Cricetulus griseus: one gene and its partner. The protein of the gene in region 2 purifies or fractionates together with the protein of the main gene of each other region. This does not show direct contact. Links are inferred from orthologs where the notes say so. Each region holds a gene or a part of one and is shown on either strand. Other genes may lie near its edges.

What was found.
Region 1: the proteins of Ptpn21 (region 2) and Trip6 purify together in Homo sapiens (affinity purification with mass spectrometry; 3 studies listed by BioGRID and IntAct, with this or other methods). This does not show direct contact. The link is inferred for Cricetulus griseus from reciprocal best matches to the Homo sapiens genes PTPN21 and TRIP6.

Annotation. Positions count from the first base shown.
Region 1 is NC_048597.1:116,225,467-116,229,671, reverse strand, and holds the start of Trip6 (thyroid receptor-interacting protein 6), read left to right. Parts: upstream 1-1,375; 5' UTR 1,376-1,535; coding exon 1,536-1,644; intron 1,645-1,893; coding exon 1,894-2,021; intron 2,022-2,134; coding exon 2,135-2,260; intron 2,261-2,513; coding exon 2,514-2,897; intron 2,898-3,368; coding exon 3,369-3,462; intron 3,463-3,560; coding exon 3,561-3,730; intron 3,731-4,205. Other genes in the region: Slc12a9 (solute carrier family 12 member 9), read left to right, coding at 1-687. UniProt on the Homo sapiens protein: Relays signals from the cell surface to the nucleus to weaken adherens junction and promote actin cytoskeleton reorganization and cell invasiveness. Involved in lysophosphatidic acid-induced cell adhesion and migration.
Region 2 is NC_048598.1:106,997,721-107,001,280, forward strand, and holds part of Ptpn21 (tyrosine-protein phosphatase non-receptor type 21), read left to right. Parts: intron 1-3,167; coding exon 3,168-3,560.

The DNA of each region.
Region 1 (4,205 bases), on a different chromosome or scaffold from region 2:
GTGGCAGATGCTCTCAAGATGAACAAGAATGTGGTTCTCGCCCGGGCTTGTGGGGCTTTGCCCCCGGAGCGGCTAAGCCGGGGGTCCAGCAGCAGCGCTCAGCTACATCACGTGGACGTGTGGCCCTTGAACCTGCTGCGGCCCCGGGGTGGGCCTGGCTACGTGGACGTCTGTGGCCTTTTCCTGTTGCAGATGGCTACCATCTTAAGCATGGTGCCTGCGTGGCACAGTGCCCGGCTCCGGATCTTCCTGTGCCTGGGGCCTAGGGAGGCTCCTGGGGCAGCGGAGGGCAGGCTGCGGGCTCTGTTGAGTCAACTCAGGATCCGGGCAGAGGTGCAAGAGGTGGTGTGGGGTGAAGGGGCCGAGACTGGGGAGCATGAAGAAGAGGAAGGGGACTTTGTGAATGGTGGTCGAGGAGATGAAGAGGCCGAGGCTCTGGCTTGCAGTGCCAACGCCCTGGTGCGTGCCCAGCAGGGGCGAGGCGCGGCAGGAGGCCCTGGGGGGCCTGAAGGAAGGGATGGGGAGGAGGGACCTGCTACTGCCCTCACCTTCCTGTACCTGCCTCGACCGCCTGCCGATCCTGCCCGCTACCCCAGATACCTGGCGCTGCTGGAAACCCTGAGCCGGGACCTGGGCCCCACCCTTCTTGTTCATGGAGTCACTCCAGTCACCTGCACTGATCTCTGAAGCCTGTTGAGACAGGGTTGCATAGAGGGCCCAGGCCCATTCTGAACAATGGATCCCCCAGTGGACTCTGCCCTTCGGATGATGTTTTAAGGGGACCATGGTCTCCTTTGGATGGGGGGGACGTAGACACTAATTTTGGGTGGCTGTTCCCATAGTCCTGGGAGGACATTGTGGCCCTGCCCTTGGCCTGCCTCCACTTCCTTCATTGGTGCCTTGACCAGAGGGGCTGGTCTCTTCTGCGACTCTAGGCTACCTCAGTGTCCCCATCCTGGCCACAGACGCACCGCCTCCCTCTCCCACTTCCTTGGGTGGTGATGTTTGTGTTTTGTTTTATTTTTCTAACTACTGACCATTAATAAAAGACCAAAACACTATGGGCTGGCGGAGCACTGCTGGTGGGTAGGTGAGCGGGAGGTGGGTGGGAAGGGAGAGATCTGTAGGGGGGTGGAGACCAGAAGCCTTTTGAGGTCCCGGCCGAGAGGCTGCCACGTGCAGTCCTGGGGCAGGGATCGTAGAAGGGGCTGGGCCGCAGCCTCTGAGCGCCTTGCAGCTCACCCTGTGGCTTGGCTCCCGAGGCGGGCGGCCCATTCTTAACAGGAGGGGGCCACAGAAAGAGAGAGAGGGGAGGGATTGCAGATTAGGGTTTAGGGGGACCACGTGACCCTCTCTAGGAATGTGGTGACGTCAGGGGGCGGGGCCAGCCCCAAAATTGGGGAGGAAGGGGGGAAAAAAAAAGCCAGAAAAAGTTTCTTTGCGGGAGTCCCAAACCGGGCGTGGGACGGGACAGGAGGGCTCCGGGCTTGTGGGGGCCGTGACCTCTGTCTGGAGTGGAGTAACCATCCCAGACCATGTCGGGGCCCACCTGGCTTCCCCCGAAGCAGCCAGAGCCCTCCAGAGTCCCCCAGGGAAGAGCGCTTCCCCGAGGCGCCCTGGGGCCGCCACCGGCCCACGGAGCAAGTAAGTGTTTGTCTCTCGCACACCCGGGAGTGGCGGGGGAGCTACTGGCCACTCTCCTTCACCTTTTCTCTCCTGTCTGTCTGCTTTCTGATGTCTCCTCCCCAAGCCAGAGGCCCCTGCCCTTGTGCAACCTTCCCTGATTCCTAGCCCTTCCCAGACGCCCCAGATGCGTGAAGGAGAGGCACCCCGAGCAGGGCAGCCTTCACGAGGTACCATTCTCCATTCCCACCTCTGTTCTCTCCCTTACAGCACTCCAGCCCCACCCCAGGGTCAATTTTTGCCCCCTCCCACCTGAACAGTGTTATCAGCCTCCGGGGGTACCGGACGATCGGGGGCCTACTTGGGTGGGCTCCCACGGAGCACCCCAGCGTCTGCAGGTGAGAATTGGAGATGAGAGGAGGATGTGTGGGTCTCTGTCTCAGGGTGAAGGCGACAGAAGCCCAAGGGTTGTGGTCTATATTTGTTCTCCCTGCTTTGGCTCTGTCTCCAGGGGCTCCCGCCAGACAGGGGTGTCATCCGTCCTGGAAGCCTGGATGCTGAGATAGATTCACTCACTAGCATGTTGGCTGATCTGGACGGGGGTCGCAGTCATGCTCCTCGGCGGGCAGACCGACAGGTCTGTGTCCTGTGTCCTGTGTCTGCGTCCCCATCCCTAGCCAGTTCCCTTCTGTGGCTCTTCAGCCTGAAGCCATCCTTTCCACACTTTGCAACTAATGAACAGCTGGCTCAAGGAAGCACGGGCTGCCTCCTTGCCGGGCCTTGCCCGTGGGAACTTGTCAGAAATCATTGCTTCTCTGTGGTTCCCACCTGGAATGCATGGATGTTGGTTAGGGCCTTACTCACTGTTTCTCCATTGCGTGTCTCCCCAGGCTTTTGAGGTCCCTCCACCCCATGCTTACCGCGCAGGCTCCCTGAAGCCCAGTGGAGGTGCTGTTCCAACCCCTATGCTCCCAGCAGCCCCTTATGGTGGACCTACCCCAGCCTCCTACGCCACAGCCAGCACTCCAGCTGGTCCTGCTTTCCCTGTACAAGTGAAGGTGGCTCAACCAGTGAGAGGCTGTGGACTGCCAAGGCGGAGGGCCTCTCAGGCCTCTGGGCCTCTTCCAGGCCCCCACTTTCCTTTGCCAGGCCGTAGTGAAGTCTGGGGGTCTGGCTATAGGAGCCACCGTGAGCCAGGACCAGGGGTAAAGGAGGAAGCCGCTGGGATACATGGCCCTGCAGGAGGAGGAAGAGGAGGCGGGCATGGGCCCCAGGTGAGCCGGGTGGGGGATGGGGGACACTGGGTTTGTGGTCATTTTAGGTAAGTGGGCATTGATTGGGTGGCATGGAGTACTTAGGATACTGGTTTAGGGCTGGGGAGGCAGTTCAGTTGGTAGAGTGCTTGCTTACTATGCAGGGGTTCCAAGGTTCTATCCACAAGCATGGTGGAGGTAGAGGCAGGTGGATCAGTAGATTAAGGTCATCTTTGGCTACATAACAAGTTCCAGGCCAGCCTAGGCTATATGAGACACTGTTCCAACAATAAATAAATGAATAAATCAATCCTGGTTTTTGGAGTACTTAGAGGTCATGGGTCAAAATGGCCAAAGGGAATGGGCTAGGTACCTCCCCCCCATTAGCTTCTGGGAGATGTTCTCAGATGAGTTTCAGGGTTCTGACCTTACAGATTATTCATGGTATCAGAGACTGTAGGTAGTACCACAAAGCCCTGATTCTCACTGTAGGTCCCTTTAAGCCAACCTCCGGAAGAAGAGCTAGAGAGACTGACCAAGAAATTGGTGCATGACATGAGCCACCCGCCCAGTGGGGAGTACTTTGGTGAGCTGACCTGGTGGGTAGGGTGGGCAGAGGGAGGAGATGGTGGCTCTGGTGACATGGATATGTACAGACTGATGCTCATTGCTCTCTATCCTCAGGTCGGTGTGGTGGCTGTGGCGAAGATGTGGTTGGCGATGGAGCTGGGGTTGTGGCCCTGGACCGTGTCTTCCATGTTGGTTGTTTTGTGTGTTCTACCTGTCGGGCCCAGCTCCGGGGCCAGCACTTCTATGCTGTGGAGAGGAGGGCATATTGTGAGAGCTGCTACGTGGTGAGTGTTGGGCTGGGGGAAAGAGGGCTAAACTAAGTATCAAGATGGGTAGGCGGGTTCCTGCCCATCTAAGAGAGGGCCAGATACTTAGTCAGATGGGGCAGATGATGGAGGGGGCTTGAAGCTGGGAACTCAAGCAGAAACAGAAGAAGGAAGGAGCTCCACGTGGTGGCTATCTGCAGGAGAGACAATTAGGAGTTTGAGGTCAGTTTTAGCTACAAAGCAGGTTTGTCCAGGCAGTGGTAGCATATGCCTTTAAACCCAGCACTTGGGAGGCAGAGGCAGGCAGATCTCTGTGAGTTCGAGACCAGCCTGATCTACAAGAGCTAGTTCCAGGACAGGCTCTAAAGTCAACCCAGGGCACATGTTTCCAGAGATCATTTGGTCCATCAACCAAAAGAACATTTTGGGTTTTGTTTCTTTGATTGCCTGTTTGTAGTTTTGGAATAATATGTCATGTATCCCAGGCTGGCCT
Region 2 (3,560 bases):
ACTTTGTAGGGCACAGGTCTGAAGGGACAGGAAGAAGGCGTGTTGACTGCACTTCTAGTTGTGGCCTTCTATGCAGAGTTGAGGATGGCGATAGCAGAACAGAGCTGTGGTGTGGAGTTCAGTGTCCTCTGGGACTGTCCCATTCCTGCCCCCTCTTCTATACCCATCTGTACTTGAACCAAAGCCCCTCCAACCATGGGACAAGGCTTCTGCCTTCTGTCTCTGTGCTGCTTGATCTATGACGATCCTGCCACTCTTTCCTTTCTTCTTCAGACAATGGTTTGGGTTATTTTATCTTCCCTTTCTGACTGCACTCCATTTGAGAGTGATGTCTCCATACTCCGGCCCATTGGCTCCTCTTAATCCCTCTCAGAGGTTTCCACACCCATAGGTGGTCTTCCTGTTAGTATTAGGTGGTGTCACAAAGATCTGTCTGGAATTTTCCTTCCCTGAGGGGGCTTCCACAGCAGCTCCTTCATGTGGAGTTCCTCTAAGGGTGACTCAGAGTCTCATTTCCCACCCTGTCATCATCCCCGTGTTCCACCCATATCCCATTTCCCACTGTCAGACAGGTGGGAACCCCGCATGGAGGCTCTCTAGCCAATAATAGTCTCTCAGGAACTGGTGTCAACTATCAGGGCTTGCTGGGAATTGAATAGTAAATTTGAAGTCATTGCTTTACCCTGCAAGTCTGTTTGTTTTTACAGTCCTTCATTATGATGAAGTCACTCTCTGGTTGTGTGGATTCCAAGATGCATGTAATTTTACCCAGTCAGTGAAATAGCCATAGCCTGTAACATCATGCACTATCTTTTCTATATCCCCTTCTCCCTGTCCCTTTGCTCCTGCTCCAACATAGGTCCTTGTCCTTTTGTACCTTTCATTAGCAGTTACATCCCATGAATATATCTTTGGTCTTCACACTCCCCAGTTGACCTGACAGAAAGCTTCCAGCTTCCCTCCCTGATACACGCTCATCCCTTGCCTGTAGGCCTATGCTCCTCAACATCCCCTTAGCCGGTCCTTCTCCTCTAGCTTCTGGCTGTCAGCTTGCTTCTCTCTAGCTTGTTCTGTCTGAGTGGACCCTGGCTTTGCCCTCTGCACCGACACCCACACACCCTAAACCCAACCTCCTTCCAGTTCACATGCGGCTGTTCAGCCAGGATGGTCTGATTCTGCTGTGCTAACAACATTAGAAACCTTTGGTGGCTTTACTTCTCCATCAGAGTTCGTGTCCATTGCATCCTGGCAGGTGGGCTCTATTCCATGTCCGCCTGTATCGGGGTCTCAGACTGGAGGAGCCTTTTCTCTCTGTAATGGTGTTAAGTCAAGGCACTGGGGGCATGGGAGGAGGAGTTCTCAGAAACTGGCTCTTAACTTTCTGCACACTTTCTCCTCCATGTTACTAGTCACAGGTATGTGCTTGGCATCATGGGATGGAGAAGTATAGATAGTCCTGTGTGCTCTTAGAGAGCCTGGAGGCAGGGACACTAGGTAGGTAGGTATCACACTGCTCTAGACAAACTGGGTGAAGGATCTGTGACAAAAAAGGAATCTAGAGATCTAGCAATGGCTGAGTGTTCTGCAGATGGAGAAGCACAGGAAGAGGCAGTGGAGTGCAGCAGGAGGGGAGAGCTATGGGACTGGCCTTCTCAGAGCTGTGTGCGCCCCAGAATGCAGTGTGCCCAGCAGGTAATCAGACACTACACCGCCACGGAGCTTCTGAATTACACAAACAATGCTTTCTGCAGGTTATTTTCTTCCATTTAAAACAATTTTTTTTTATTTCATTTTACATTCCAACCACTGTTCTCTCTCCTATCCCTCCTCCCACCTCCTCCTCGCTTCTCCCCTTCACCTCCCTCGCAGCCCACCCCCAGTCCACTCCTCCTCACAGGTAAGGACTCCATGAGGAGTCAACATAGTCTGGCACAATGGGTTGGGGCAGGGCCAGACCCCTCTCCCATGCTTTAAGGCTGAGCATGGCTTCCTACCATAGGCAATGGGCTTCAACAAGATAGCTCATGTACCAGGTTTGTATCGTGGCCTTACTGCCAGGGACCCCTCTGATAGCCCAAGCTTCACAAATGTCTCCCACATAGGGAGGGCCTAGTTCGGTCCCCCGGAGTCTCCATGGTTGTAGGTGTAGAGTTCATGAGTTTCCATGAACTTGGTTCAGCTGTCTCTGTAGATTTCTCCATCATCATCTTGACCTCCCTTGCTCATATATTCCTTCCTCTCTCACTTCAACTGGATTCCTGGAGCTAGGCATGGTTCTTGGCTGCGAATTTCTGTGTCTGGTTCCATCAAGTACTAGATGAAGGCTCTGTGACGATAGTTGGGATGTTGGGGCTCATAAGGCAGTTCAGGTGAGCTGTAGGTCGAGTCCTCTTCTAGCCCAGGCAGGCACACCAGCACTGTAGGATTAGTAGCCTGAGCCTGCAGCCTTCCATCCACATCTTGCTCAACTGCAGGCTTAGTGGGCCAATGACAGCTACCTTAGCCTGGTTCTTCTTGGCTTTTGGGCCTTTGGTGGAGTTACAACTACCAGTGCCTCTCCCTGTTGGAGAGGAAAGCTCTGTACCTGCTGTACTGGACCTTGTAGCATGGATTTTTTTGTTTTGTTTTGTTTTTCTATCAAAGAAGAATCTAAAATTCCAGTTAAGGAAATGTTCATAGATCATTGGTATCTGCCCTAGCTCAGCATCAGGGTTGTGTCCCTACCCACCGTGGCTCATTGCGCCAACAGTATCTCTTCTTTGAGTTCCACAGTGTTCCAGAAAACCTGCTTCTTGTCTAAGTGAAGTATATGTTTTTAACTTTCAGAAAAAAGATTACTTTGTGATACAATTATACTCTCAATATTGGACTTAGATTCGTCCATATCCTAAGTACCTCGCTTTCAACAGGTAGACCTATCCCATCCTATGGGTGAGCTTTAAGCGGGCAGACCTACCCCAACCTATAGGCGAGCTTGAAGCGGGCAGACCTGCCCATCCTGTAGGCGAGGAAGCTGAAGCTCCCAGGGCAACTTAGTGTGACTGAAGATGTGTCATTTTAGCAAGAAAATTTCCGACTCTTTCGGGGCCTATCTCAGTATTTGACTGGAGTAATGAGTCCAACTTAATACATTTTCAAAATCTTTTAAAACCTTTTTCCTTCCTCAGATAACATCTTTGTGCCCAACAAGAATGGATTCTATTGTCACTCCCAGACAAGTTTGGACAGAACCCAAATGGACCTCAGTGGCCGCATCCGCAATGGCAGCGTGTACAGCGCACACAGCACGAACTCCTTAAATACGCCCCAGCCCTACTTGCAGCCCTCCCCTATGTCCTCCAACCCAAGTATTAGTGGCAGCGATGTCATGAGACCCGACTACATCCCATCCCATCGGCACAGCGCCCTGATCCCCCCGTCTTACCGCCCCACCCCCGACTATGAGACTGTGATGAAGCAGCTCAACAGAGGCATGGTGCACGCAGACAGGCACAGTCACTCTCTGAGGAATCTCAACATTGGCAGTTCCTACGCCTACAGCAGGCCCGATGCCTTGGTCT